4 linked regions of the Drosophila melanogaster genome follow. The protein of the gene in region 3 purifies or fractionates together with the protein of the main gene of each other region. This does not show direct contact. Each region holds a gene or a part of one and is shown on either strand. Other genes may lie near its edges. The genes, in order: TAF1B, TAF1C-like, udd and Polr1B.

The links.
Region 1: the proteins of udd (region 3) and TAF1B purify together in Drosophila melanogaster (affinity purification with western blotting; one study listed by BioGRID). This does not show direct contact.
Region 2: the proteins of udd (region 3) and TAF1C-like purify together in Drosophila melanogaster (affinity purification with western blotting; one study listed by BioGRID). This does not show direct contact.
Region 4: the proteins of udd (region 3) and Polr1B purify together in Drosophila melanogaster (affinity purification with western blotting; one study listed by BioGRID). This does not show direct contact.

The regions. Positions count from the first base shown.
Region 1 is NT_033777.3:10,138,018-10,147,104, forward strand, and holds TAF1B (TATA box-binding protein-associated factor RNA polymerase I subunit B), read right to left. Parts: upstream 6,168-9,087; 5' UTR 6,055-6,167; coding exon 5,627-6,054; intron 5,572-5,626; coding exon 5,451-5,571; exon of another isoform or gene 5,338-5,450; coding exon of another isoform or gene 5,213-5,337; intron 5,158-5,212; coding exon of another isoform or gene 5,070-5,157; exon of another isoform or gene 5,053-5,069; intron 4,918-5,052; coding exon 4,477-4,917; intron 4,382-4,476; coding exon 2,753-4,381; 3' UTR 2,086-2,752; downstream 1-2,085. Other genes in the region: CG42759 (uncharacterized protein), read left to right, coding at 5,070-5,157, 5,213-5,337; invadolysin, read left to right, coding at 7,384-7,515. UniProt on the Drosophila melanogaster protein: Component of RNA polymerase I core factor complex that acts as a GTF2B/TFIIB-like factor and plays a key role in multiple steps during transcription initiation such as pre-initiation complex (PIC) assembly and postpolymerase recruitment events in polymerase I (Pol I) transcription.
Region 2 is NT_033778.4:21,497,377-21,505,312, forward strand, and holds TAF1C-like (TATA box-binding protein-associated factor RNA polymerase I subunit C-like), read right to left. Parts: upstream 4,357-7,936; 5' UTR 4,249-4,356; intron 4,172-4,248; 5' UTR 4,170-4,171; coding exon 1,641-4,169; 3' UTR 1,527-1,640; downstream 1-1,526. Other genes in the region: CG46395 (uncharacterized protein), read left to right, coding at 1,255-1,437.
Region 3 is NT_033778.4:8,103,033-8,109,214, reverse strand, and holds udd (under-developed), read right to left. Parts: upstream 2,831-6,182; 5' UTR 2,760-2,830; coding exon 2,280-2,759; 3' UTR 1,842-2,279; downstream 1-1,841. Other genes in the region: Cul4 (cullin 4), read left to right, coding at 3,366-3,690, 3,758-4,002, 4,064-4,524, 4,576-4,762, 4,861-5,053, 5,112-5,248, 5,303-5,692, 5,754-6,032 and 1 more.
Region 4 is NT_033779.5:401,516-410,191, reverse strand, and holds Polr1B (RNA polymerase I subunit B), read right to left. Parts: upstream 5,908-8,676; 5' UTR 5,809-5,907; coding exon 5,719-5,808; intron 5,657-5,718; coding exon 4,157-5,656; intron 4,098-4,156; coding exon 2,298-4,097; 3' UTR 2,223-2,297; downstream 1-2,222. Other genes in the region: AP-2alpha (adaptor protein complex 2, alpha subunit), read left to right, coding at 1-65, 119-402, 456-660, 727-804; CG4213 (uncharacterized protein), read left to right, coding at 8,529-8,676. UniProt on the Drosophila melanogaster protein: DNA-dependent RNA polymerase catalyzes the transcription of DNA into RNA using the four ribonucleoside triphosphates as substrates. Second largest core component of RNA polymerase I which synthesizes ribosomal RNA precursors.

The sequences.
Region 1 (9,087 bases), on a different chromosome or scaffold from region 3:
CCGAACTGTCCATAATATGTCCATCAAAGTGTCTTTTCAGTTTGACATCCATTGGCGGCAGCAGAGTGCCTTACTTTTTGTATCTTTTTGGGGAGGTAAGAGGGTGGTATTGATAAACATTTCGACGGACAGACGTGATTACTACCATATGTCCGACCAGATCCGTGGCAAGCAATATTGTGCTTATCAAACTGTTTCGGCTCATCCAATTAATACACTTCACGGCCCCCGAACTCCACCCCACTGCACTCGTGGCTGGCAGATATAATGAAACTAATTAGCATTTGACAAACACCAATCTCATATTATATTCCTCATATACAGTGGGCGTTAGTTTGTACAAAAGCAAACGCTTCACTGATGAAATTTCCAGAAATTTTGAGTGCAATATCACATGAAAACTTGTTGATATTCTGTAAATTACTCCATGAAATAAGTATACACTTGGGGTTGTAGGTAAATTGCTATAGAACCAGGCGCTGTTTTATCTATCATTAAAACCTGCTCTTGACCCTATGGACTTCATTTTGTTACCACCTTTGTATTAACAAGTAAACAAAGTATGGCTGTGTTGATTATCAAATCGAATAGGTTAATAAAAATAACTACATTTTTGATCTTTAGTCCACTACTGGGGTAGACCACTGTACCAACAAAGAATCCGCAAAAACAGGACCCAATTGGCTAAGGCAAACTTCAGTTGGGAAAACAAATTGTAAGCCCACAAATAATGATTTAGTCACATGGAATCGAAATCAAGATAAATGCGCGTGCTATATGGTTGTTTTCTTATTTTTTTTTCGCTTTGAGCAATTTGTTCGATTTGCTAATGCGAACAGCTTAGGCAAATATTTTGGCATAAAAGTCAGCAAGTGACAAAATAGTAGCTATTAATTGTTTGTAAGTCGGCTCGCTAAACATGGCCAGTGCGAGTCAATAGTTGTTTATTGTTTGGCTCACAGCGAAACAAAGCGGCCTGAAAATGTTGTTAACCTCAAAAACCGCCAAGAACGTCAGCCAGATCGGTCGGTATTATAGCGGTGGGAGGAGGAAGAGGAGGATGAGGGGGGGGGGGTGGCTCAGCCTACAGAAACTAGAGAATCAAATGCTATGGTAAAGCATAAGCCCCCGACCCCCCGCAAAAGGTTGACGTAACAGCTAGGCAGCTAAACTCTTGAGAAATGGAAGCACCACTATACTTTCGGCGGTATTGAAACAGCTGTCTTTCCATAATCGTAGCATTTGAATGGTAACCACACGCGCGCATATTAATATGAAAACATTTTCAAAAACCGAAAAACCAACTCACCAGCAGACTTCTAAAACAACAGATATCCAACAAATCACAGACACAACAGTGCTATTTTAATTGACAGTCTTTAGATATCTCATAATTTGCCATGCACTCGGCTATTTTTAAACTCTGATTTTGAATTTATTTTTGGTTCCTATTTCTGTGGCCTCCACACTTTCATCACTTTCAGATCGGTTCTCTTCAAGTCGCGCGCTGCAACGGTTAAAATTCCTGTCCACACATCCGATTCCACTGCACTTCTTGGGCACAGGCACTTTGGTTTCTGGTTATCACACTGCGCTGGACGGGCAAAGAGGCGTACAAAGGCACAATGGGAACTAATTTAAATTGAATTCGAACTCAGTGCTCGCGGCCAGTGGAAAAGTGGAAAATAGGGAAACTCAAACCGCAGCAGGGCAATAAGGCGAAACAGTCAGCGACGACGTTAAAATTAGCACTGAAACGCGCCGTGCGAATGCGCGCCTATGATTTCTTTACCCACTCTCACTGCTCCCAAGCGGAGGTGGCCTCTTTTCTAGCTAGATATAGCTATAAATATAGGTAAGATCACAAGAATATCGAAAAAAAGCATAAGATAATTCTTATCACCTCTTTCGCCGGATTTTTGAAGTAGGATCATCAGAGATAACTGCTTTATATGAAACAAAGCTAGTAAGACATTAAAAGGAAATCGCTCCTATGAGAGCGTTGACAACGTTAAACTTAAAGCAAATATAAACTATCACAATTGAACACCCTTTAAATTGTTATATATGTAAGTGATTTTTTTTGGTTTATTTATTTTATTTTGTTGTTTATTTGGTATAATTACTTTATAAGTAGAACTGTTCAAAAACAAGCCAAGTGAGCTCCTCTGTTTCCCCAAGTACTCTCACGCTCTTTTTTTGCTCTCTCCAGTTGGTGATGACCGTGGGGCCTGGCGCTCTCTTTTGAAGAAGATTTTTGTAAACAAAACCGCGACACGCATTGTTGCTGCTAATGTGATTGTTGTTGTTCTGATAAACGCTAATTTGCCTATTGATATTGATGTTAATGTGCCTTTGCTCACACAGTCGCGGCCAAGGAGATAACACTGCCCCTTAATACATAGATCGTTTCAATCTAAAATGGATGCAAATTTAACATTTGGGCATAGGAAAACGTATGGGTAGACAACGAATATTTTTGTTAAATGAATTGATCACTTTCGATAAGTGTGTAAATCATAAATTCCTGAACTTAAGCTATTGACGTAGTGGGTGTGTCATGTTTGTACTTTGGTAACTGCTTAACACACAGATTTATTTGCATCATAATCACTGTTGAAAGATTTCTACAGGTTATATACACAAAAAGAAAATCTATCATTTGAGGTAGAGCACTACGTAGAAGAATATTATATTTTATACAGATGGCATCGTTGTTTGTTAATTCAAAACTTTTAATACTTCTAATATACTACCATAACTCCTTGTACGTCCTGGCGAGGGTTCGGATGTCCTTCTCTTGAGTATTGTGTTGAATACACAGATAGTTCCTATGATTGCTCCAGTCCCTGATGCTGTGATGGTACATCACTTCCACAATGAGCAGTTCCTCGTAGAGCTCCTCCCAGACTATGCCTATTGTGCTGGCACACGTCTCCAAGAGCCAACGGAAGGAACAGGGGAACAACTGACGCAGTTCATGCTTGTCATGCCTCCGAATTCTTTTCATATAGCCGTGTAGAAGCCAGCAATCAAAATTTGACACTTGCAATAACAGCGTCTCAGGGCTTGGCGGCTCATCATTGATATCGCTCGCTACTTGGTCTGATGCTCTATCAGAACCTTCCGGATTCAAAATTTTTTCCAGATTGCGACGGGGCAGATCTAGAGGGATGTTTAATGGATCCATGGTCCCTTCCTCGAAGGTTTGCAGTGAGCTAAGGCTGTCAAGTGGTATCTCGTTATCGTTGAGTTTGAGAAGAAAGCTGGGCGTTTCGGTAACATCCCAAAACGGATTATTTATCTCAAGTTGCACACGCCTTGCGTCGCGCATTGTTATACGTTTCAAATATCGGGCTCCATAGGTTCCAGTGGGCTGTGTGAACCGAAAGTCCGGCCGTTTCTCCTTACGCTTTAGCTCGCTTATCCACGTCTCGGTTTTAATTTCAGTGTTGGCGCGGTATTCTCGACCGTCACCTCGGATTATTGTTAGTGGGCGGAATATGCCCACGTTTTGGATGTCCTCCTGGCAGGCAAGCTCCTCTACTCGTAGTTTAAGGCCATGTTGGGACAAATACTGCGACAGCTCGGTCGTTTCCAGCACAAAGGGATCCAGGTTGCGGGCCGAGTGATCCACTTTCATGTGGTCAGGAATTGTGATTTTCATTTTTGCACCATCAGACCGCGATACTTGGAGTAGGATTCTGTTGAAGTAGGAGTGAGCCGGAGTCAAGCTGGGCTGGAATTCAATGTGTTCCTTCTCCATACTTTCTTTGCTGGACTCGCCAAAATGGTCCTTCAGCATGGTTTCAATAATGTGTGTCAGGTTTTCATGCTGACGCTTCATTGCCGCAGATCCCTGCATCCAGCCAAAGGTTTCGCCTTGCTCCTTCTCTTTCCACTCCTTTGCCAGTATGTCGTCCACCTGACAACCAGTCCGGGTGGATACCCCGAAGCGACGGGCAAAACTTTGGTTGTAATGTGAGACAATCACTTTCCTCATCTCCACAAACTCCATCCACTCGGTAAAAACAAAAAGCAAGGGAGCCTCATCTCCGCCGACTTCCAGCAGTTTTTCATTGATTTTAGCGGCCGATTCAGATATATTCCGCTCCTTGAGATCGTCCAAGCCGAAGAGCAACTTCATGGCGTAGAGGATGTAGGCCATAGTCCTGGCCTCATAGCGCGGATACGGATGTACGGTCATGGCGTTAAAAAAAGTGGGCGGATGCAGGTCAAGCAGGCTATTCACGTACTTCAGTAGCCGAGGTGGCAGTGCCAACTCCAGAATATATCGCTCCGCTAGGGAGTGCAGGTTCGGTTTTTGATATTCAGACAAGTTTATGAATCGTGACATACACGCGATGTTTACACGCAGAAGCTGTGGAGAATATAAAGATAATTATTAGTTGTGTTCCTTTTTATTAATAGATATTTCTATTTTTCTATCGTTAGAAAATGATGGATTATAGTCACCTTGTTGGTAACCTTGTCTTTCATTTTGCTGAGCTCCATATCTTTGAGCAGTGCCTTGCCCTTGGCCGCCACATTTCCGGGCAGATAGTTAAGCATGCACCGCTTGGTCAAGTGCTCCTCATCAATGAAGCGCAGCAAGTCCGATAGCTGTATATCATCCTCCACCATATTAAGGGCTATGCCCAGCACCACATACAACTTGATAATATTCAGGCAGTAGATGTTACGATCAAAATTGTGGAGCTGCTTGACCCTCGGTCTCAAGCTGTGGCACGACATACTACCCTTGCTGTCGCGGCTATGCTTGTCCAGGTGCTTCAGCGGCATATGGCGCTTCAAGGACTTGCGTGCACGCATTGACCATTGCAGGTGGAGACTCTGCTCCCCTTCGGACTCTGAAGCTCCTCCGTGCGAGCGGTAGCCGGAGGCGTCTAGATTGCGCTGCAAAAGGAATGGGATCAAGGTGTTACAGTCGCATCTGAGTAAACATCACTAATGAATAGGCTAACTATGTCATTTATATAGCTTGTGGAGCTATAAAAGACGAACGTGTTCAAGTCAGCAGCAATTTGGTAAAGTGTGTCGTTGCAAATATGTCCATGCGTCTGGTTCTAATTGGCGTGGCCATCCTGGCATTGGCCTACGGACAACCTGTTCCCGGAGCTCCAGAAGTCACTGAAAGTAATTAGATAAACTAATCCTAACGCTTATTGTTCATCCAACATATTCGCCACAGATTCTAATCCAGTACAGGAGATAAATACAGCAAAACCCATGTATAATGACTACCAACGGACCCTTTTCCTGCTGCTGCCCCTGCTGTTTCCTAACCAATTCTATATACCGACTACCAGCGGCTAATAAACTACCTTAGTTCTGTTCCACAATCTGAACTTGGCGCGCTCGTCATTTGGGTCACCCGTTAGAGTGCTCTTCTTGCCCTTTATACCGACTACCAGCGGCTAATAAACTACCTTAGTTCTGTTCCACAATCTGAACTTGGCGCGCTCGTCATTTGGGTCACCCGTTAGAGTGCTCTTCTTGCCCTTTTTGCCTTTCTTGAATGTCTTATGGTTGTAGATGATGCGGGCATCTCTGAAAGAATTCGGAATTTAAAAATAAGAAATTTTAGGAGAATGCAAGAACCCACATGGGCAGCGCCCGCACATTCAGTTTAGGCAGTCCCGTCTTGTTGCTCTTGCTGAAGGCCACCTCCATGCTGTCCAAGTAAGCCGCCCACACTTGCAGGGTCATCAGTTTGAGCTCCGGCTTGGCGCCCATGTTGAGCAGCTCCTGGAGGAAGCCGCGCAGCACGTAGTTGTAGAATTCCCACGAGGTGATATCGTCCTCATCCTCCTTCTCCGTATCCTTCTTCTGTCGGATCGTCCTGGCTGTATATCGGCCTGCTGCCGTGTCATCAAAGTTATCCTCGGCGGTAATGTCCACTGCACGAATCTGATCCTTCTGTGTGCCACACTCTACGCAGTAGTAGAATCCCTCGCGCTCCTGGAAGGTGGTACCCTCGCACACATCGCAGTGCATGTTCTCCAGCTGCATCGTCTCGAGAACTTCCTCCATTTTTGGGACTTTCTCTTGACGGTATCAGATTTAAATTATATTATTAATCAAACTCGCGGTTGTACACAAATCGTGCATGTGATAGTGGTGGGGAATGATCTATGTTTACAACGATATCATCCGTTCTTCGATTGATTCGATATATCGTCCGTTTCTTCTATGAAAACGTACATCACTAGATTAAGGCGGCAAATAAAAGTTGGTTCAAAGTAACATATTTTTAGTCATGGTATTTTAATAAAATTTTATTTTTATATAAAATTTAGAGAGCGGTTTTTTTTTGAAAGTATATATTAAAATCTAATAAGCGTAAAGGGTATTTTTTATTGTTTTTTATGCCAACCTGTTAGATGCACTTGTACGTTAGCCATCACTGAACTCTAATCTCTCGTAACATTTCTGTTATCTTTTTGGTGTGACCATAAGCAGTAAGAATTGAATTATCCATGTCTTGACGCTTGATTTTTAAAAAAGTCGATTCGAAATATCGATAGGCAACGTAATTTTTTAGCGCTAATAAGAGGTGTTACCAGATTCGGAAAAGCATAAGAACGCGTTTTTCGTTTTCGTTGAATGGCCACTCTGTCCTTGTGTCCATGTACTTATGCATATGTATAGAGACTCGATTCAAAACAAAATCGGCTGGCGAACGTTAACGTCGTTGTCGGACGATTCGACTCGCGTCTCTCTAAGTTTGTTGTTCGTGCCAACCACCCCCGCCGGTACCCAAACGCCCCCTTTTCGCGCGAGTGTTTTTATGGTTTTGCTGAATGAAAAGGCTCGACGAATGCGCTTATTGAGTGCCCACTGTGTCGGGTATGGCAGTGAGTCCTACAGAATGCTCTCGCTGCACGGACAGTTCATGAGAATTTGACATTTAAGTGCGAGTTTGTTCCTCCTTTTGCGGCTAACTGCAGTTTGTAGTTTGCTGTAGTTTTATGCACATTTTTTTGGCGTGGGCTGAGATTGGGACACACCCACCCGAAAACAAAAACAAAAAGTAGTCCAAAGGCCCCAATAATTGAGTGTCTCTGTGTGTGCGTATGTACGTGTGTGTGCGAGTTGTTTATGTGTGCGAGTGAGAGGAAAGGGATTCGAATCGAGCCGGTTTTCGCGAGTTAATTGACAAAGCAAACGGCGGAAAAGCAGCAAACATAAGCAAACCAAAGAGGAAAATAAACAAAGAATTTTAAGTGCAGATATGGGTGTTCGAAGTCAAGTGATAATTAAACAAAAATCACACTAATCCTGACAATGAAAAGGATCACCGCTACAATGCTGAGTACTCTATAATATCCACGGCGATATTCCACCCCGAAGTAAAACACCATGGCCAAAACGCCCCCGCTCCGCCCCCACGGTAACATGGCCAAATTCCTGGCAGCCCTCGGCATCTGCTCTTGGCTCCTCGTTTCGGCCACCGCTCACAACTGCCAACACCAGCATCCAAAGGCCCACGAGGTGAGTTGCGTTCGTTTGGCTCCAAAAATGAAGGGATTGGATTGAATTGGATTGGACTCTATGGTATTGGGTTGAATTGGCCTTCTTCTCTTACTCCGCCCTTTCTTGCAAATAAAACAAATAATATCCGGGAAAGGGCTATTTTGGGAACACGGAATCTTTAAGTGCTCACCCGCACACGTGTGCCAAATATTTACAATCCCAACTACATTAATATTAGTCTTTTTTTTTTTAGTCTTGCAACTAGCTAAGATTTTTCATGCTAGATAGCTAGATTACAAGATAGTATAAGGTATGAAGATGGTTTGGTAATTTCAAAAGAAAGAGTCCTTAAAGTTTAAATCAGCTGGAAAATCGCAACTTCGGAAATTTCAATGCTCGAGTTTCTTGTTTGTTTCTGCTTCGGCCATTTGGGCAGATTGTCCTTCGTGCTCATTAGAGAAATTTCATAATTGGTGCAAACTGTGCTCGTCGAAAATTTATAATTGATTGGGCTTTGGCATGAAAAAGGCAGGCCTAATTAGTGCCGATTTAAGAGGAGCCCTGAAATTGCCATTCTCATAATTCTGCCATAGAAACAGCGGCAAAAAACTGAAACAATAAACATCTAGCGATGGTTGGTGGCAACCACAGCTTATTGACTAATTCCGCTGGCTAATAATATGCGCATTCGAGATTCAGTCAGTCAGTCAATGCAATGTGGTTTAGTTTGTCAGTCAGGTGGTGGGGCTGCATATTAACAGGTAGCTCATAACGTGTAACCCACCATCGTGGTTACCAAACCGCCTCCATCTGCACCACATCGACATCCACATCCAGTGATCTAGTTAGGGTTTAATGTCAGACGCTGCCCGCCAACTTGTTGCTCGGGATCTGCATTCCGTCGGGCTTTTGTTTTTGTGTCTTTGGAAGTTTTTCGCCTGCACTTTACTGCTTTCCAATCAACGGCGATTTAATTGGCGCGTCGCCATAAATAAAGGTCGCCTTCAATTGCGCAAAAAGGGGAAATTTACATGATTACTGTATCGAGGCGGGTACAGTCTGTCCTCCGTGGTTGCAACTGCAGTATAATCGAACATAAAATGTTCTCGGAAATATGCATTTCCCAGGTGTTTTATAACTTTTCAAATATATGCACTTGTGGAGAACGAAATTAATACACAGCTGTATATGGTGTGGCAGCTAAAAGCAACTATAGTGTAGTTTGCACAAAAGATACATAAGCTTTTTGCAAACATTGGCAGGATGCATCCTATTTTCAAACTCACCAGGGGACACAGAACTTTTTCATTCGTTAACAATATAAAACACAATATATGTATGAAAAATCTGTGCAAACGCTAAAGTTTTAATTAGCGAGTAACTACTTTGTTTTCAAGCCAGTAAAAGTGAATTGGAATGGCAGGGAAATGAATTAATTCAGCGACTGTCTGTTGATGGCTAACGATGCTGTCGAGGTCGCCCAGCGTGTAATTAATTGAATTATCTGTAACTTAAACTGTTGTAAATGCAAAAAACCGTCGTCCAGATTATGTGTCTCTCTGCGCACGGAATGTCCTGCTGTCTGGCCAC
Region 2 (7,936 bases), about 13 Mb from region 3:
ATTTCAATGTTTTTTTCATTATATTCCCTATCTTTTTTTTGGGTGCACCCCTATATAAAAAGAGTGGAAATCTTCAGAGAGACCCGGAAAGTGTGAGCGGGAGGAGGCGGGGGATCGTGATCCACCACCATCCACACGTGTAAGAGTACGAGAGAGAGTGAAAGATCGTGTTTTTGTAGAGCCAAAAGAGATTCACATACTGTGGGAACGCGATCCACAATACGGGGGGCAGAATAAGAGAGAGCACTTGTCCACGTAATCAAGCAGAAACTTGTTCAGGAGCGGATCAGGCGGACTTAGGTTAAGACACAATCAAAGGTGTTCCTTATCCCAAATAAATTAGTTAATATGTAAGATTAATTTTTTAAAATTTAACTTTAAATTTATGATTAATCAGAACTTACAGGAACAATGTAATACCGAAATGTATTCCAAAAAGTTATTCATTTTTTATTAAGCTAATAATCGTTTTGAAAAATGTAACAAAAACGAAAAATATATGGAACACGAAGGACACACAACCTATTCAAGCAATTGCTCAAGTTTAACTAAAAGGAGTTTCCAAAGAATATGCCGTAGTCTACATGTTGCTGGCATCAAAGTTTAAGCAACATTATGCCTCGCCTACTTTTTCTAGTGCGCAGGCGCCTCTTTTATTTTATTTGTGGGTGGAGCCTGATAAAGAGTTAATTTAATGATTGGCGAATTAAATTCGGCAAAATTATGTGACATTTTCTTTTGTTTTCATACTCTAATTTAATTTATTACAGTTTATTTTTAAACCGTGCTTGATAATTTTGTACACTGGTAGATTAATACGATACGATATAATGAAAACGATTAATATTAAGTGTGCACATATGTTGTCAAAATCAATTTAAAAATTTTTTAATTCCCAATAAATTTTTGGAGCTGAGCTTCAGCATTGTATCTGTGAATATGCCAATGTTCCCGTCAATAGCATTCAATAGTTCGCTGCATTTAGTTCAAGATAATCTTTTCCAACTAAAAGCTTTGGATGCTCAGCTCAACCGAGCTTAGCTTAAACTAAACTAAGCATATATTCTATCTATGGCCACTCCTATGGAATTGTCACCCTTGGCTCGTTTACGCCCCACTGAGCGCCGACGAGCGATAGATAGATCGAATCAATCAATTAAATGCAAACTGCCCAAATTAATTGAAAATCAGTCGAAATCTGAGGCACTCTCTAAACGGTCGTGTGGCGTGTTGGAAAAAAAAGGGCGAAATATAATGCTGCACGGCGATCAAGATAAGCCCAAAATGGCAAAACGATCTGTGGGATACGCCCTCAAACGCAGGAATGATCGTTTTGTGGTCGAGCCCATCGAGGGAATCGTGAATCCAGCCTACGAACCCGATCTTGGTGGAGATACATCCTCAACCAGTGACATCAATCGAAAATGGCAAGTATAACAAGCAATAAAGTTTTCGGGATGGGCTAATGTGAAGTGTGTGTTGTGTTATTCAAATTATTGCAATCGAATAAAAAATAAAAAACATTTAATATTGTTGGCAGAAATCTAAATTCTAAATCTACTTACTTCTATTTAATATACTTTATAATCTGCTATTTATTTTTGTTAAATTTAAATTAAGGTTAACAACTCTAACTTAAGCTAGAAACCCTTTACGTGTTTAACCTTGGGCCTCTTAGCTGGCGGGGCACAGGGATAGTCCTCGATGATAGTATTCTGGCCGGGCAGCAAGATAGAATACTCGCGGCCAAATTCAACAGGCGATTCCTTTTTGGGACTCAAAAGGCGCTCTCCGATGTCCTGATCGGAATTAAGGGCTGGAATGACTGAATAGTTCGCTGTAGTGGCGCCATATAGCTTTGGTAGACTTGTACCGGGAACCATGTCGGGATTTCCCTCGGTCACCTCGTCCTCAGTGGGTACCACTGTCTGACTGGGCAATTGTTCCAACCAATTGGCCATGCGTTGTTCAGGTTCCAGCTCCTTCCCCTTTATACGCTCATCGAACATTTCTCTTGTTACGTCTCGTGTGGTGTCGTACTCCTCCATATCCCACACGTCCAGCAAACGGGTCGACATCATGTCCGTGTAGTGGGACAGCTTGTAAGCGGATTTCTGCCAGGGACCGCGACTGATGCTCTTCTGCTTTTTAACATTTCTCTTACTGGCAGCTTTCCTTTTGGGTTGCCGTTTTGGTTTCACCTTGGTTTTTTTCTTAGGCGTTTTCTTACCACCTTTCTTGGATTCCGAAGGTTCTTCCTTTACCTTTTCAGAGGCTGGGCTTTCATCTTCTGAAACATCAGTATCTTCTATGCCATAGTCAATTTCGATTTCCTCTACGATTAAAGGTTTTTCTTCAGGTTTTGATCTTTTGGCACCATCTCGAAAGATGTCTCTTATCTCTGGTATCGACTGGACTTGTGTGCAGCGGATGTTCTCGCGTTGGACGCGCTCATTAACGGCATTGGCAAGGTAGCGAATGGCTTCCGTTGTATGAGTTCCGGTTCTGATCTGCTGGACATGCTCCTCTTCATCCCTAAGCGTTAGTCTTTGGCAGTAAACATCTCCCAAGCTGTTGGAGGTTAGCAACTGGGTAAAAGCTTGATCACTGGCCCCCTCTAAGCCAATAAAGCGCATTCCTGTAATGCAGGTCGTTACCCGCTCTGCTATATCAGCATAGACATCCACAAATCCTCCCAAGCGAGCATCTATTAAAGCTTCTTCCAGGGTTACCGGCGCAAATGGTATTGCCGGCGAGAACATTTCATCGACACTTTTTGCCTGAGCTCCTTGCAGTTCACAAATTCGCAAATCTTTGGGTAAGAGTCCACCTAACGCAATATATTCACTGTCCTGGTGAACGCTTGTGTCAATAAAACAGGGTGGATAGGTCATCTGATGCGTCCAGGTGACGACAGCTCGATCGGTCAGCTTTTTACCCAAGCATCTGATATCCAAACAGTGGAAGTTGTGATTACTAGCCACATACAAGAGATTAGGATTCACACCCTTGGCCAAACAAGAGAACCTCTCGCAAGCTTTTGAGTGAACGCCGCTGGCAAAGCAGGGATTCAGAGGCAGATTGCATCGCACATCTACGGTAAACAAAACTGGCTGTGTTAGGCAGTGAAAGGTGCTTTCCTCTGCTTGCTTTAACTGTGCCCAGGTACTCGAGGTTTTCTTCAGTCCTTTTAGCAAGCAAACATCAAGCTTGGCTATATCCTGTTGTGTCGAAATATCCACGAAGCGCAAAGACCTATCCTGGCTAGCTAAGGCCAATGTATTGGCATTGGCCAATGATTGTGCAGCGCTTGTAAAAGGAGCTACTTGACTGCTAAACATGCAATGGCGAATGAGTTCGTAATCTGAATCCGAATCCTGTTCGTCTTTGCATTTAAGTTCGTATAGGGAAACCTCCTTCAGCAACCGTGCCAGGAACATTTGACTGCGATTTAAATTGTGGAGCGGAAGAAGTTCAAAGACTTCGCTGGAGGATTCCTCTATCGTAGCCGAATGCAATGGTTGCCAAAACTCCGCCTCACCATAATCTCGGGAAAAGTGCAAATCTCTGAGCTTATTACCGCTGACATGCATGGCCAGCTGATCGTTTCCATCAAACGGAATCGTGTTTAGGTTTCCGCCTGTGTAGTAGTAATCGTAGCTGTCCCTGAAGAAGGAATTCTCCTGTTGGGCTATGTGCTCAGCCATCTCAAACAGACTGGCATCGTGTACACCTTGCTCCTGCTTCTGTACACGCTGTCTCATATTTTTAAGTCGCCTATCAAATATAGCCTTGCCTAATTGCAATTGCCGTGTCCAATCGTCGTAGCGGAATGGCCTTTGGACGCATGCCTCCACTCGGGGAGTTTGTCCATCCTTTGCCAGGAAGAGGGGTAGCGGCACCGTAACCGAGCAATTTGGCAAGTCCTGCTTCGGATTATCCTGATGATCGTACAAGAGTTGGCCCAACATTCCAGTGTTCAAGCCGGGATAAGAGAAGTGCGGCGCATTTTCCAAAATGCTGCGCAGATTATCTGGCTCATTGTTATCCTCAGCATCTTGATCCGGCGGAAGATCATCTTCGGAATCGGATTCGTTGTCACTAGTTTTGGTCTTGACCTGGGCACTGTATTTGGCCGAATTGAGAGCTGTTTGATAGCGTCGCGGCATGTCTGTAATTGGAGTATAAATAAGAAATCGGATTTTGCTAGCTGGCCGATGTGTTTTGATGCATGTGAGCCTGGCTTACGGATTTCTTCGATCAGCTATCCAGTTCTGCACGAAAGAATTTAGTTAACAAATTGAATTTGACTCAATCAAACGCCAAACGCACGACGTTTCCTCTGGACGCAAGAAACAGCTGATTAGTGATGGGTATTTATGTCTACCCAACCGCATGCTTGCTGTTATGAGCATTACAAGCAAAATATTCACAATATATTAAAATAATATAGGTTTTGGATTATCTATTACATTACATTGGAAGTGCAAAAATGTAACATTGAAAAAAAAAGCATCGTAAAATACCTTTTTAAAGAAATGTAAAGGTTTTAGACACCAATAATAAGTAACATTTACATTTTTAAGTCAAAAATATTTAAGAATCCGATGTTTTGATAAGCGACGATGTATCGCTGGTCGGCGATACTATTTCTAAAATATCGGCTAGCTCGATAGCACCTATATGAAAACATCGATTCCCGATGCATCGATGTTTCTCCCCATCACTATCAAATTTGCTTTGCGCTGCATCGAGACCGAGAATTAAAGACTTGAAAGCAGCTGGAGAAATTACAAGAAATTGATCCCCGAAAATTACTGGCAATCGCGAACAGCGGGCGTGTGTGTGTGTGTGCGTGCGCGCGAGAGCGAGAGAATAAGTGAATGAAACAGAACGAGCACAGAAATTACACAAGTTGTAAAAGAAAAGGTGAAGAAAAAAGTTGGTCGAGACCGAATATTGATTTTTTCATAGACAGTGCAGTTAAAACAACGGTCTCTTTTTGTTAGCCAAAAAGAAGGCGTTGGTAAAAAGCGGTAGTAGTTTTTATCTCAATTTTGAGGCCTACAAAAGAATAGAAGAAAAAGCAACGGAAAGCGTCAGGTGAGTTTTTTAAATCCAACCACGCACACACCTGCACTCACACCTACACTACCGCACACAACGGGCACAATTAACATACATACAAGTGCCAAACAGACAACAAAACAAATGCCAATTGGAAAGGTGTGAAAGAGAGGGGCGGGTCTGGAAGATAACATTAACCAGTTCTAATCCTACTCCCCTCCCTCTCGCTCCGCTTGCATTTGTTTTGTTGCAGTTATCTATTACTCTTCCCTCTCTCTCTCTCTCTCTCTCTCTCTGTCTTATCCTGTCTCTCTCTCTCTGCGCTCGCCCCCATTAAAAAGAAAAGAAAACACACTGCCTCATCTAAAACTTTTCATTTGCATCCCAGTATCTGTTTTTCAATTAGCACTATTGTATATTTTGCGCACTCTTCTTTTTACTTAGTTAACAGTTAGTTGTTGTATGCACGTTTTTGTCGTTGTTGTTCTTGTTGCTCGCCATATCTGTACTAATTCATCCATTTATGATGTTCGTTTTTATTCGTTATTCGTTTTTTTTTTGTGTATGTTTGGCTTTGGTTTCGTTTGGGTTTTCCTCGCTTTTCCTAACTGCTAATTTTTGACAAAACCCAAATGGCTTCTGGCTCTGACGTAATGGACCCCTGCTGCCCTCCCCTTCGCTCCATTCCGTCTCTCTTCCTCTTTATCGCTCTCCCTCTCTCGGAGCTGGCGCTTTTCCACTCTAAACGACCTCCAGAAAACTTCGCCGCAATCATTTCAGCAGCTGCCACAGTGAAGCCTGTGTGCTGAAAACCAAGTTATGCCAGTAAAAAAAAGTGCGGTTGCATGTTGTCCTGGGATTCTAAATTAGTAGGTTTCCTTGATTCCTACACCTTTTTTCCATATTCTGAATTGCAATTAAGTTAAATAAGAAATTTGACGATCTAGGCAATTCGCAAAAAAACCTCAAATCAACTTCGAGTTGATTTTCTAGACAATAGTCGACCAATTTTCCTAACTAAACAAAGGAAAAGCGAAATGGAATAATGGGGTTGTTCATTAAAAGCGACTTGACTGTTATCTCTAATAGTTGCCCTAATTGGTTTACCTATTGGCAGTGTTTACTGTTCCTGCAGACATTTGTTATTCGCTGTTTTGTGAAATTTTATTGCTTCTAGCGGTTTTTGGGTGTGGAAATGAATGGGTGAGGACTCCACTTTAACGGCTCTACTGTAACCTGTCGGCGCCATCGCCATGGACAGGATTTCGTCTCGTCCTCCTGAGTATCTGAGTCCAGTACATACATGTATGTATACGTATCTATATCTGATGTTTAACTTTCCTGCATGTTTAATGCGTAGGTCAGTTTACTCAGAAGGCAAACACAATAAAAAGTTCGCCGCACAAATTGCTTTTGGCGCCTTGTTGCTGCTCCTGTTGTTGTTCTTGTTGTTGTTGTTGTTGACGCTCTTGTTGGCCACTCAGGTGTTTACCAACTTCCCTGGCACCTTCTCCCTTTTCTGCCCTTGGTCTGCTGCGGCTCTGTTTTTATGTAACTTTCAAATCGATTGCAAACACGTAACAGTAGGGCAACCTGCGCCGCCCCTCATTGCCCCACCGTGCCACGCCCCTAGCCTCCCACCTACCCAACTGATATTCTCCCATATCCTGCAACAACACGCTCTGACGTTGAGCGTGTGATTTGGTTCGTTTCGGCTGTACGATTTTTTTTCCTGCTGGCCTGCGGCTTGACATAGCGTGACATTTCCTGTATGTGATTTGCTGCCGTTGTCGGTGCCCCAGAACCCCTGCCACGCCCCCTACCGATGGGGTATCTTGTCTCTCCGCCCCCCAAAGAACATTTGAATAATTTCTGTTTTGCAAATTTGTACCCCCTCCCACATCGGAGGCGATATCCTTGAAGGACTCGGACAAATTGCAGTCAATACAATAGTTGAGCAAGTATTTTTAGGGGCAGCAGAGAACTTGTTGTTAGCCACCTTCCAAGGAAATCGAACACTGAAAGATCTTACAAAAAACAAGAGCCATTAAACGTATTAAATGATAATTTAACAATGAATTATGTATGTAACTACAGCAGACTTCCTTTAAAATTATCTCTTTTCACGTCTAAGTAGAAAAAGATACATTTAAAGCAAATCAAAAGCTCAAGGATTATGTAAATCACTTTTGTTCTCAGAAGAAAAAAAATCGTAATTATTTAGTCTTCTGAGTCGGTAAATCCGAAGTAGCATTGAATCCCAATCAAGTACACAGTTCAGCAGTAGATTGAGTTCAGATTGCTGTCTTGAGCTTCGGTTTGTTGTTGCCCGTTGACCTGCCAACGGTTGCCGTGGGCGACCTGCCAAATTGTCGATATTCCGTGCGCTCCTTTCGCTCCGGGCCGGAAAAACGGAAAAGCCAGGGCACGTCGTTCGCCTGTCGCCGTCCCACTCTAGCCGATGGCTAATTTCAATGGCTCCACGCTGCTTGCACCTCAAGCTCCTCCTCTGCACTCTTCACGTGCAATCGCAATTATGAATAATTCGCCATAAATGGCACACGCTGGGCTGCAATTATTGGAATTGAAGTGGCCCAGATGCCGCTGATAAATCGCTTGCCACCAATAAGCCTATAGTACATTATACATTACTACATTATATGTACATATATATGTAGAAATATGGCGCTAGGCCCATTATATCATATACCATTTCGTGTGGTCGAGGTGAAAAGTGCAAGCGCAACTTTATCAGCGCCCATAAATCGAGCAGCAAAAGGTCAAAGTTGAGCTAGACTAACAGCTTTTTTAGTGGCGAAGGATGGCCGCGGAATTTGCGAGTGCCCATGTACTTGGCAACTTTAAATGC
Region 3 (6,182 bases):
ATGTTAAAACTTCACATCTACTATTTTGAATGGGAAGACAAAATATATTTTCATTGATCATATTAATTGTTGATCCTGTGTCTAGAAGGCATTTGTATGAGCGCCCTTTGTATACTATTTTTATGTATTCGTATTTTCCGGGGCTGTTAACCGAAAATTTTCGTTTAGTTCAGAATTATTTTGGTTTTGTTTGTTATTAATTTGTACAGATTGGACTTGTTGTTGCCCTTCATTAATGAAGCTATGATTTTGATACGGATTGTATTGATTTTGGTTAAAATACTGTTGCTCGTAATAATTAGGTTGGACTTGTTCGAATTCATGCGCGTCTTGGAATCTAATTTCGTCAATAGACATTTTAGTTTGTTCACTGTCCGATGGTCTTAGTCGTTTAGTAATCGGGAAGTTAGTATTTTTATATGTAGAGGGTTGTTGTAGTCGAGGGTATGTATTTCCTCTAAAATGCGTTGTTTGGGGAAATTGGGCTTTGTTGGGATATTGTTGGAAATGATTTTTTTGAATAATGGGTTGTGGGTTTATGTATTGGTTGGGTCTGAAATAATTAGGTGCGTGCCACATGGGTGGGTTGTTAGTTATCTGCTGTGTATAGCTAGGTCTAAATGGTTGAATGTATTGATTAAAATTAGGTTGGAAGGGTTGGGAATATTGTGAGTAACTTGGTCGATTTTGAGTTTGAACATTTGTATTGAATTTTTGTGTTTTCGAATTCTGGTTAGAATTTGAATTTTTATTACGATATTCTGGTTTTTCATAAAATTCAAAATTAATGTGTTCTTCATAAATTCCCTCATTTTGTGCAATGGTAATTAAGGATCTTAAGTCTGTAATATCGTGATGGGCTAAAATAGTGAATAATTGTATTGGTAGTTTCCTTATCAGTATCTTAATAGATTCTTTAATACCCTGAATATAAATAAGAAAATCCGATTGGTTACCTTCCAGGTGTAGTTTCGAAATTAGTAATTGACGTCGTCTCTCCGCTTCTTCGCAGAATGCTCTTAGGCTTCCTCTGTATGGTGTCTCCCTGAAGTTCTCCAGAAGTTTGTAGTTTGGTGTTTGAATTTTAAATTCCGCGATGAGTCTTGCTTTAAGGGTAGGCCAATCTTCGATGTTCGGAAGTCCCAAAGATCGTGTAATTTGTCCGTCCAAGTTCCTTTCGATGGCTCCCAGTAGAATCCTCTGTTGTCGGACATCATTTGTTTGGTAGAGCGAAATTACGTAATCCACTCTGCTGATAAAGGTGTGAAGGGTTTCTGGATCACCCTTGAATGGCATAATGTCTTTAAGCTGCCGACGGGCTTCGGCAAGGTTTATGTCGCTCAGCGCAATAATTGGTTGTGACATTTTTATTGTAAAATTTTTAACTTTTGTGTTTTATTTTTTTGTTTTGTTTCGGATTCAATGTTATTATTATTTTTAAGCTTTCTAGTTTCACTTGTTTGTTTTTTTTTGTTTTGTAAATTTTTGTGTTGTATTATTAAAATTCTATATTGTTTTAATTTTTTATTTTTATATGTTGGTTTTAAAACTTAGTTGCCTTTGGACTTAATATTTTTGTTTCGTATTTCACTTCCACTTATTATTGGATAACCGAATTGGAATTATAATCCAAGTTGAAGAGTTTTCACGAATTTATTTTGGGAGATGTTTCGAGCACTGGACTATAAAATTTAACTTATTTTCCACTCGAAGGTTCTTTTTTTTTCGGATACTTTTGTATCCTACCGACTGCGCCAGTAAAATTGTTGTTTTATTTATGAGTCGAACTAATGTCCCGTCAGTTGACTAAGGACAACGCCAAGAAATAAAAAATAGTTTTTAGGAGAAATAGTTTCACGACTTTATTCTTTGGATCTCAGCTTAAGACTAAAAATCAAATGCAAATTGGATTGAGGAGAAGCCTCAGTATTTGAACAATATTTGTATTTCGGGAGAGCCTCGCTCTTGGGTTCTTAAGATTAGGTAGCGTTGAAAGAGGGCAGTCAAATCTGCTTAGGTCAGGCTTTAGGATGTTTACAAGAACGGCTGCGCTGCCAAAGATAAACGAATGCTGCGCAGCTGGGATACGTTATGGAAAATTACTAGAGTGCATTACTGATTTCTTTGAAATAATGGAAGTGGCTGGTTTGGACCACCCAAATACGTCACTATATATTAGTGGGATGGACGCAGTTTTAATAGGCAATTTAATATGCGTTTTTTTATGAGGTAGTTATATTATATTTCTTGCCTAACTTCGTCGTTATTAAAAAAGGTAACTAGGATAGAATAGCATTTAATGAATCGTCTAATGCTATGTCTTCATCTGTGGGTCTCGTCGGAGGAGTCGGCTCCACTCGCAACTGCTCCATTTTCGTGTAGAACTTTGGGCACTTTTGAAGAACCTTGGAGTATTCCGTGAATATTTGAAAGGACGCCCTTTGGAGCAGCGTTTCTCCCATATGATTGGAGGCCAGTATTTTTGCCAAGTTCTTGTAGTCCCGCTGCATAAGGCAATCCCGGGCCAGTCGTAGTTTCTCGTACGCAGTGGATCGTCGAACGCTGAAGTAAAACTCGTTACTGGCCGGAGGAGCACAGGATGGGTTTTGGTTCACCCAAAAGCCATCTTCGGGACTGGTGGCGATCTCAAGCGTGCGTTTCAAAACATTTGCGGGTATCCTTCTGGCTGGAAAATTCTCACCCTTTATTTTACGCGGTGCAGTTTTCAAAGGCGATGGCTTCTCATCTTTTGTTTTCATTTTATATGGCGAAAGCGAACATAAATGCGTCGCGAACACAATGCGTCGTGCTAACAGTGATAGGCAATGTTAACCTGTTTCACACCAATATCGATAGGCAGTGCTGCCCGCTGAGCTATCGATTACCCGCAGCCAATCGATGTTTTGATTCGTCCGATATCCCAAAAAGCAATATTTTCCGCATGCAACCAAAAGCGAAATAATAAAATGTTGCCTGTGTAATTGTACTTCCGAAGTTTTGTCGATTTGAATAGTCTCTCAGGCGTCGAAGGAACCCCATTTGTCCAAAAGGACGCCGTTTGTCGGAGAAATCTACTTCGCAGCCGGAAAATTCACAGGAAGTCTATTTGCCTTGAGTTCGCAAGTTGCCAATTTCTTGACGACCCCAGTGCAAAAGTCGCAAAAATATTACGAATATTTGCTGGTAATCATTTCAAGGGTACGTATCGAAATACAAACTGCAATCCCTTCCCTTAAAGGAAAAGCCAGCAATCAATAACCGATCTCCACGCCCAGGACTAAGCAAAGCCGGTGCGACGAAAGCAGGGCAGGATCAGGAGAGCAGGAGCGGAGTGGAGATCCTGCTGGCAGCAGGGGCCCTAAGCTATGAGTGCGGCCAAGAAGTACAAGCCCATGGACACAACTGAGCTGCACGAGAACACAGAGAATATTGCCGCCTGCCTGAAGAAGGCCGAGAACGTCGCCCCCACCGCTGCTGCCGCCTCGAGCGTGGGCCGCAGTGCCTTCGCTGCCCAAAACATGAATTCTGCGTCCACCAACGGCGAGCGCCTGCCAAACTTCTCCAAGCTAGGCGGCAGCCATGGCGAGATCCGCACGGCTTCAACTACCTCAAATCTCCTCAATCGCATGGGGGCTATTCACAACAGCAAGCCTGGCGATGTCAAGAAGATAGTGATTAAGAACTTTAAGGGTAGGTCCCGTCTAGATCTCAACTGTTTGTATACTGCATGATTCAACTTCCTTCCTTCCTTCCTTAGATAAGCCTACACTGCCCGATAACTATTCCAAGGACACGTACGTGAAGCTTGAAGAAGCCGTTATCGCCATCCAACTCTCCAAGCCCATTAAATATTCGCTGGAGGAGCTCTACCAGGCGGTGGTGAACATGTGTAGCCACAAGATGGATGCACAATTATACGCGAAACTCAAGGAGCTAACAGAGCAACACGTAAAGCGCAATATTAAGCTCAAGGAGCTCACCGGCGGTAGCATGGACAAACTGGTAAGTTGCTGTTTAAGGAGCACATTTAAAGGTTTACTCGTCAACTTTTATTGTCTTTTAGATTTTGCTGGAAAAGATCAACCACTGGTGGCTCTCGTTCTGCCAACAAATGATCATGATTCGCAGCATATTCTTGTATATGGATCGAACTTATGTGCTGCAAAATTCGACCGTTCACTCGATTTGGGACATGGGGCTGGACCTTTTTCGCATCCATTTTGCTCAAAACAGCGTTGTCCAAAAGCGAACCGTCGACGGTTTACTAACGCTTATTGAAAAAGAACGACAAGGCTCCACCGTGGACCGTGGTTTGCTGAAGAGCTTGGTTCGCATGTTATGCGACCTGCAGATCTACACCAGCTCCTTTGAGGAGAAGTTCCTCGACGCAACCAATCAATTGTATAAGGCTGAGAGTCAACGCAAGATGCAAGAACTGGAAGTTCCCGAGTACTTACAACACGTCAACAAGCGTTTGGCCGAGGAGAACGAGCGTTTGCGTCACTATCTGGACTCGAGCACCAAGTATGCTGGCGAAGTCAATAATAAAAACAATTATTAATGCGTTTTTTACAGACATCCACTGATTTACAATGTGGAAAAAGAGTTACTTGCCGAACACCTAACGTCAATATTGCAGAAGGGCTTGGATTCATTGTTGGAAGACAACAGACTGAGTGACCTTACACTGTTGTACGGGCTGCTTAGTCGAGTCAAAAATGGAACATCCGAGCTGTGCGGCAATTTCAACGGTTTCATTAAGGTATGGATATGTTAAGTAGTATAAATTTATTTAAAGATACCTTTGTTTTAACTGCAGTAAAACATATTAATAGATCGCGCTAATATACTTACTTTCAGAAAAAGGGACGCACCATTGTCATCGATCCCGAGAAGGATAAGAGCATGGTCCAAGATTTGCTCGATTTCAAGGACAAAATGGATGTGATAGTTCGCACCTGCTTTGAGCACAATGAGAAATTCACAAACTCGTTGCGCGAGGCCTTTGAGTTCTTTATCAACCAACGTGCCAACAAGCCGGCCGAGCTTATTGGTAAGCGCCCACTGTCACTATATTTAAACGAGTTTGCTAAAGTTTATTCTTCCATTAGCTAAATACGTAGATATGAAACTGCGATCTGGCAACAAGGGAACCACAGATGAGGAGTTGGAAAAGACTCTAGATAAAATCATGGTTCTGTTTCGTTTTATACATGGCAAAGATGTATTTGAAGCGTTTTACAAAAAGGTTGTGTCCATCTATTGTATGTCGAGCATTATTTAATAACGAATACCATCTTAGGACTTGGCCAAACGATTACTTGTGGGCAAATCGGCATCAGTGGATTCCGAAAAGAGTATGCTCTCCAAGCTTAAGCAGGAGTGCGGTGGAGGGTTTACGTCCAAGCTGGAGGGCATGTTTAAGGACATGGAACTGAGCCGAGATATCAACATTGCGTTCCGCGGACACGCGTTAAGCAACAACCGCGATGTCCACAACTTGGACTTGTGCGTCAGCATTCTTACCATGGGCTACTGGCCTACATATGCACCTACAGAGGTCACAATGCCGCCACAGTTCATCAATCCTCAGCAGATTTTCAACAAATTTTATCTGGAAAAGCATAGTGGGCGGAAGTTGCAGTGGCAGCCTACATTAGGAAATTGTATGCTGCGTGCTCAATTCGATGCGGTAACTACTAATGGCTCCTACTATGTTCTATGCGATTGCAATGTTTACGTATGTTTCACAGGGACCGAAAGAATTGTTGGTCTCGCTGTTTCAAGCGCTTGTGCTTCTATTGTTTAACGATAAGCCAGTTCTGAGCTACGAGGAGATATTGGCCGCCACCCTCATCGAGGATGGAGAGTTGCGTCGAACACTTCAGTCCCTGGCTTGTGGGCGCGCCCGCGTCATAACAAAAACACCGAAAGGCCGCGAAATCTTGGATGGCGATCAGTTTGATTTTAACAATGAGTTCACAAACAAATTGTTTAGAATCAAGATCAACCAAATACAGATGAAGGAGACAGTAAGTGGCTTTAGTTTTGATGTAATTTGCACACACTTAATCTTTCCCCTTTTCCATTAGAATGAGGAGCAAAAGGCGACGGAGGAGCGTGTGTTTCAGGATCGTCAGTATCAAATTGATGCGGCTATTGTGCGCATTATGAAAATGCGA
Region 4 (8,676 bases), on a different chromosome or scaffold from region 3:
AGTTTCGCCAGAATTTAGGACGATTAGGCCTTTTCTACGGCAACAAGACACAGGTTCCCCTGACAGTAAGTAAATTAGTTTCTGAAACATTCCAGGCATTACATTGCTCTCTTTTCAGAACTTCAATCCTGTGCTGCAATGGTCTGCCGAGGATGCGCTTAAGCTGAACGTGCAGATGAAGGTGGTGGAGCCAACCCTGGAGGCCGGCGCCCAGATCCAACAACTGTTAACCGCGGAATGCATCGAGGACTACGCCGATGCGCCAACAATCGAGATCAGTTTCCGCTACAACGGCACCCAGCAGAAGTTCAGCATTAAACTGCCATTGAGCGTTAACAAATTCTTTGAGCCTACCGAAATGAATGCGGAATCATTCTTTGCACGATGGAAGAACCTTAGCGGGTATTTAATAAGGTGTCTTTTGATAATATTCAATATTAATTGTGCATTTGTAGTGAACAACAACGGTCACAGAAAGTGTTCAAGGCTGCACAGCCACTGGATTTGCCCGGAGCCCGCAACAAGCTTATGGGCTTTGGAATGCAACTGCTGGACCAAGTGGATCCCAATCCAGACAACATGGTCTGCGCGGGCATCATTCATACGCAATCGCAACAGGTGGGCTGCCTTATGCGATTGGAGCCGAACAAGCAGGCTCAGGTGAGTAATTTATTGTTAGATACTTGGAACATAATGCCTATTGCCTATTTCTCAAATTATCAATAGATGTTCCGACTGACAGTTCGGGCAAGCAAGGAGACCGTAACTCGGGAAATCTGCGATCTGTTGACGGATCAATTCTAAGCCACAACAATCATGGACGGGGTGATGGAGACGGAGCTGCGAAGCCATGGAGCAACGGCAACCACTTTACAATGCACAATCCCAATTACCTAGAGAAATATCAAAGCATACAAGGCCCTAGAACTGTACGCGTTTAGTTATGCCAGGCACACTCCTACACTCTTCTTAAGTACCTTTCATCTTCTCCAACAGCGAGTTGATTTACCCACTGTCCTGTTTATTTGAATATTATGTTTGTAAACCTACTCTTACTTTAACCATTTTCAATTTCATGTTCCCAAACTTTTTTGTAAATGTTAAGCTCAAAAAGTTCATAGTAGAGAAACGAGAGAACATAATTAGATTATGTTTATATGTATGACAAATTATATATTGTTGCATCATTTCGAGGCAGTAGCAATTGGATATTATATACCTATATACAGATCTACATACATTCATACAAACCACATACATATACCTAGTATATACGTCGTTGTAATAAAAACAGAAATCAATATAAAACAAAAGAGAAAAGCTTGCAAGGGAATTATTAAGATGCCTGCAAATGACAAGTATGCAAATCGTTATCTAAATATTTATACATATATTGATTATTGCAATTGCATCTAAACGAAATTCATGTTTAATGTTTTTGATTGTAAAATCCAATGGAGGACCGCAAGAGCAGAAATCTCATTAAATAATAGACAAATAATTAGACAGATCCACAAAATCTCCTTGATTAATCACTGTTGAGCAACTTAAAATTTATTAACGATAGGAAAAATTTCCCTATTGAAGAAAACGAAGCAAAAATTTCAGAATATTATTATACTTATAGCAGAATTTTTTGAATGATTCTGGGTAATATTACGTTTCGTTTGTGTACCATAGATAAACTGAGAGGGGCTACTTCATGTTGTGCCGCTTCCTGAAGAGAAAGCGATCTTTGTAGCACCAAGTATTAACTAATCTGAAGCAGCAGCAGCAGTAGCCGCCAGCCATAAATCTGCTAATGACTCTCTTCAAATGCGAGACGGCTGCCGATAAAGAACAAAGAATTGTAAACTAAAATATACACTATATAGATACTGATACTGAAAACCGATAATGGAAACTGACATCAAATACTTATTACCATTAAACTCTCGATCCTTTCGTAAAAACCAATGTGCATGACAGCTGGAAATTTAGGCATTTCCAAAGTGCAATAGTTAAATGTTACAAAATTCCACACAAATTCCATTTAACACTCACAGACAAAACAAAAGCAACTGCAAGAGCAAGAAAACCAAGCCACAACTACATATAGCAAGTGCAGGAATTTAACTGTAAACGTAAACCAATATGTATTTAAATAAATATAAATTGAAACCATTTGAAAGGTGTTTAAAACGTTTCCACGATCTGGATATAAACACTTGGCAAGCACAGTTGTATTTTACGTATTTATCTTTATTACGATTAGCGCACGGGTTAACATAGGACCTAACAATAATTTTAGATTTAAATCAAATTTCATTTAACTTAAATCTCGCATTAATGTTGACCGAACTCAATTCGGTAACCAGATACTTAAAAGAGAATGGTATCTCGATCATCGATACAGAACTGTTATCCCCGCACAAGCGACACGTATCTGGCTGAGAAGAGAGTCCTCCCGTCTCATTTCGCTTAACAATGCGTTGCAGAGGCGCCAGAATGGAGCCGCACTTGTGGCACACCAGGGTGTGCGTCTTATCGGAGTTGTGGAACAAGCGATCCTGCAGCAGGAAAGCAGCACCGTGAGAGATCAAAGCATCCCGTTCCATCTCACCGAATCTGACGCCTCCACCGCGTTTTCTGCCCTTAATTGGCTGATGGGTCCGAGCTTCCACCGCTCCCGTAGATCTTACTTGCCACTTGTCAAACACCATGTGCCGAAGACGCTGGTAATGCACCACTCCAAAAAATATGTCAGCAGTCATCTCGCGGCCATCTACGCCGGAATACAGCCTCTCCGTTCCGTAGTAATTGTAACCCCCAGCCTCTAACATTTTGCCAAAATAGTCAATAGCAGTATTCTCTTCGGAGAAGCGAAAAGGCGTGGCATCGTAAACATTTCCGTGGATTGCAGCCCCCTTTCCCGCCATCGTTTCTATCATCATGGCGATTGTCATTCGGGAGGGGAAGCCGTGGGGATTGAACACAATGTCTGGAATCAAACCAGATTCCGTAAATGGCAAGTCCTCTGCAGGATATTTTTGTGAGCAAATTCCTTTCTGACCAGCTCTTGATGCAAACTTGTCTCCAATAGTGGCAGGTCGTGGAACCCTCAGTGTGATGGCCACCATTTTTTTTGGCGACAAATCGAAGCTTCCCAACTGTCGGATGCTCTCTACTATGCAATCCTCCTTTTCATCCATTTTCACAACTTTATAAGTGGCGACCTCTCCGTCAAAGTAACAGTACAGGGGCGAACCATAGCTCAATTTGGAGCCCGGATGTGGAAGACCATCCGTGTCAAGATGCTTTATTAACTCCGGCATGTGTGGATGCCTTGCGAAGTAACTGCTCTTCTTGTCCAACGTCAAAAACTTTGTTTTGTAGATACTTCCATAGGCGAATCCTCGTTCATAAGCAGCCTTGTTGATGATCATAGCATCTTCCATGTCGTAGCCCGTGTAGGAAATGACAGCTACAATAGCATTTGTGCCCATTGCAAAGTCATCCAGCTGGATGTTGTCGTAGTGTACTGGTCGGAAGAGAGGAGTCCCTGGCGTCTGAAGGCGGTATAACTTGTTGGCCGCTTGCTTAGGCCAATTCAAGCATGGCGTTCCCATCGTCTGTTTTCCCATCTGACACTGGTACATGTTACGTGGCGATTGATTGTAGTCCGGCATGGGTATCAAGTTGGCCAAGTTGCTCATGAAGTGGGTCTTAGCCAACTCCAAATGAGTGGTGAAGTCAGGATACATTTCCTTTGCATCGATGGCGATCTCCATATAAAGCTGTTCCAGTGTTCCGATGTACTCCACCCTTTTCCACTTTAGGTTCCAAACGGGCCTCATCATCCTGGCAGGACCCGTTGCAATGTAAAGCCCTGGAAACTGACCGTTCTTCTTGAAGGGTATAAAGCCGATTTCCATCATCTGGGGAAGGGTGCCGAATATCTTCCCGTAGCGCAATTCGTCAACTATTTTTTCGGCTTCTGATTGATGAATGTGACCCAAGTGTTTGCCATCTAGGAAGACGACGTAAAGTTTTTCGCCCAAATATCTTCGGTTTGACAAGGGCATCATGCCCATATCTATAAGATGCTTGGGAATGGCCTGAAAAAAAAAGTAATCGGTTAAAATTTCTAATAAAGTCTACCATTAGCTGTACCCACCTTCACCAACTTGGGATCGGGACGCATCGAAATCTCGCAAGTTAGAGTCAAATGATTTAACAGTCCGCACGGTGTGCCATCAGGAGTGTGCACTGGACAAATAAAACCCCAGGCATCCGGGAGCAGCTGCCGCGCCTCAGTGGTTCTCATCGTTGTAAAATAGGAACCACGGTGGATGGCGCGAAAGTGGGACATGTAACGCATCCTGTTAATGTTCTCCGCCATAATGACTAATCCGCTATTTTGCATTAATCCCAGGCCAGTGCGACTCGCAATATTTCCAGTTGCTAAAAACGACTCTATGGCCCGGCCAACTCCTCCTGCTTGTCGCATGCACTGCGTCATCACAGCACTGGTAACTAGGGCATCAGGTGAAGTCAGTTTTTTTTGAAGGCAACGTCGGACTTGCGAGACCCAGGATTCGACTCGCTCACTTAGGTATTTCTGATAGAGATGGCCTGGCAGAAGCACTTCCTGCATCATAGCTGAGTCGACGTTCTCCACTTTGTACTTGCCCTGTGCGCATTGGAAAAGCTTCTGAATCATAAACACAATCAACTGGAACTTATCCTCATAGGTATCCAGGTGAATCATTACTCGCTCCCTAAGAATAAAGTCTGTGACATCATCATCCGGTTGCCATTCCGGAACTTCTGGGAAGCGGGCACGGAACAGATTGCCAATGAAGCTCTTGCACTGGGCGTGCGTATAGACGTTTTCATTTTGAACTTCCCTCAACATGGCTTGCACGCAGGACACATAGTACTGGTCGGACTCGTAGCCTTGCACCAATCTGTTGTATATTTCCTCATCTGTATAATCCATTAGGCACTTGAGGATCAGGCAAACTGGTACGTATGATAGTCTCTTGACGTGAGAAAACATAAACTTTGCAGTTCCATTGTTTAAATAATGTACTACATTGCTCAGGGATGATTCGTCCTCACGGACCGTTTGCACTAACATACCCAAATCGCTAAAATTCTGTCCACGATCCTTCCAGGATGAACGTTTTACACATATGGGATGGTTCCTCCGGGTCATGATCAACATACGTACAATCTTCTCATTTCCTCGGATCACAAAAATGCCCCCCCACTCGCTGTCGTGCTCTCCATGTTTTACCATTTCTTCCGGAGTAGCCTGTCCCAGATTGCAGGCTTTGGAGCGCAACATGATGGGCACTTCTCCTAGGTCCATGTTTATGGGAGTCTTTTGCACTCCATTGACACTCCACCCCAATCGGACCGAGCACATTCCCGAGTAGGAGACATGGAGCTGCCTGGAGTCCGTGGGGTAAATCTCTCGGGTGCGCACATCAATCACATCTTGCGGCACCTTTGGCTTCGCTATCCATATTGATTCTACTTTCATTGAAATCTTTTCGCCGGCAGGACTCAGCCAGTGGTTCGGGATCATGTGTTTGGCCGAGTTATCCAGTCCCACGGTCAGCATCTCGTCGAAGGAATCCACATGTGGACCTCCCAAATTGGCCAAATGCTAGCCATAGAAGTAAATCTATTAGCACGAAACCTTGCTATAGGTACAAGATTGATATTTACCCTGCTGAGTTTTTTAGGTATCTGCTTAAACTCCGGGCGGGAATTGGTCAGCACTGGAATGGTCTTCATTTGTTGCATCTCCTCCAGCATGTTGTAAGTATTATTCTTTCAGAATGCCGACCAAAAATATTAAGAAACCTATTGCCTTCCTTCGCACGTGTTGTTTGGAATCGAACCGTTTTGAATGCGAACCAGTCAGTGGTGAGGCAGTCGCAAAGAACTAGTTCATATATTATATTGTTCATATAACTGAATGAAATAAGAATATAGATGATTGGGATAAAAATTTTCGGTAAATAAAGAACCATCACTAAAAATTTGTATTCAGATTAATAGAACACACTAAAATAACCTTAAAGTTCGGTGAATTGTCGTATGGTTCCGATTCGTGTTCAGCTCATCTTTAAATAACTGGGCTGCCAACCGAATGCAAGGAACAGCTGATATGTGCGCGCTTGATAAGCCTGATAACCCAATTTTGAATTGTATCCAAGTTGTATAAAAGCAAATATAATTTATTTGCAACGTCTGACATATTGTGCACATACGGCAATAACCATTTAGCATTTGCAAAGGCATCCGGTATGTAGAACACAACTCCTGCGGAAATGAGACTTTGCAACAGGATGTGCCAACGTGTTGCTCTGGCAATGAAGTTGTTGCATTGTTGTGAGCCACATAGGTGGCGTATGTATGCACATATGTATGTATGTGCATATTAATCTGAAGCACCCTCCCCAAAATACGCCATCTAAAGCTTCTAAGAAGCAGTTTTGTCGAATACTTGGGCTTAAACCCCACTGACTGGCACATTAATGTCTAATGACTGCGAGAATATGAAAATTTTACTAACATTATATTTCGTCTTAAGATAGGTGTTAATCAAGGCTGATGCCAGATTTCTTAATTTTTCTTGTATTGGAATTGCCAAATTACTTTGTTGGGTTTTAACGTGAAAACATGAAGTGGTTGTGGGAACATCAAGAAAATATCATCAATTTGAGATGGTTCAGGGGCTAATGGAAAAGGAAAGAACCCCAATCTGAACGCAGTCACTCCGGTTTATTATTCCATTATAATGAACACAATGGATTTCTTGCAACTTATTTTGGGCAGAGCGTCCTTGATGCCTGGTTCTTGTATCCTTGCTACTTTCAACTTTCGCTGCACATTTGCCTGTGTGCAATCTCTGCAAAAGCTGAGGGCGTTCCTGGGGCCCAACTTTTGCCTGGCGCTTCAAGTTTTTAGCAGAATTTTTTCCCTTTTGAGTCGCTACAAACAACAGAGAAACCTAGAACTAAGGGGCAGAGCGAGGCGCCATGGCAAATTGCATTGTTGATTTTCATTTTCAAGCCTGGCGACACTTTGCCAAATGTGTGCGCCATCCTTCCTTCCTACCCCGGAAAACCCTTCACCGTCCTTGGTTTGGAATCGTTGCTGCGTGTTTCCCACTTTTCAAATGCGCGCACTGGGGGAAAAAAACAGGAAGTTGGCGTGGCCAGTGCAAAAATCAGCTAGCAAATGGATTTTCATTTGAAACTTTCGCGCGAAAGATTTTCATTGAGTTCGGGGGTGCGCGGGATACCCTATGCCACTATCACAAATTGGTTAATAAAGGTCCAGAGATTTATTCTCTTTAACGAAGTGATAATGGTCAACGAATGTGGGTCAGACAGGGGTGCGCTAAGAAAAGTTTGTGATCGTGTATGAATTGAAAAATGAATAGGATTGTGCTGTATTTAACCTTGAACATGTGTTCATACTCACCCAGAGTTTTTACCTAATACCAAAACTGAGAGTAATGCTAATTCTTTTGTATGCTTTTTATATGTAATTAAAGTTCCTGATGTTAGGAAACATCGTCTTCAAAACAGTGCAGATCATTCACCTAGTAAGTGTTGCGGATCTTTCTCTTTCAGCTCTTGACAACTGGTCTTGATCTTCATTTCTTGACAGGCGATGTGGCAAGAGTTTTGTTTTGTTTTACCCCTTACTCATAATTAAAATGACGCTTGTGTATAATTTTAGACGGATTCATCTGACACGTTCTTCTAATTAAAATGTGCATAAAACTAAAAAGAACAATTAAGAATGTGAAGGGAAGAGTCCTAAGAAGACTCTCAGACATCTTGCCAAACCCTCAACATAACAAGAATCTCTAATGCTCGAAAACAAAGCATTTTATGTTGGGAGTGCCGCCGAGAGAAGCCAAATTCGTTTGAAAGCAGGAGAGATCGTAGTGGGTTAAAAATAGCAGAATCTATTCAATGTTTTCTCAGTTTTTCCCGAGCTGGCTAACCGAAAAGTTGCGTTCGACCGTCGAACGGATAGAAATTAGAACCCGAAAATTTTCCAACGTCACGTATACATATAGAAGTTTATCATATGTATACTAGATATTTAGTTTAGTTACGTTTCTCCTTTTCCGTATCTTTCGAAGTTCAATGTGCAAGTGAAGAATATTTAATGGAAATCGGGACATTATTTTTTCTCGAACATCCTTGGTTGAAAAGTGAAAGTCAATAGATAATTGCGAAATCTGCAAACTCGTGTGTGATCGTCGCACACAAATATAGACACCGATTTTTGTTGGTATTTTCCCCTGCTGGTATTGGTGCCATATCAATTGGTGGCGATCTGTAGATCGGTGGATCTTGGGCTTTCTTTGTGCCGACAAAGAGTTCTTCTCTAGAAGAAAAGTCGCATTAAAGCGAATCGTAAATTTAACGCTCGCCAGGCGAATCTGCATTGGTAAACAGATCATCACAACCGCATACCACAGCTCGTTCGTCTTTGTTCTGTTGGTAAAGATGGGAAATGCCGAGTCCACACAGTCTGCGGATGATACGCAAATGCAGATGCAGCAGTCCACTGATGACGAGCCCTGGTGGAACAACATCGAGCACGAGGATCTCATTCTGGAACAGGCCCCCCGAGCCACAACCCAAAAAGAAGCTG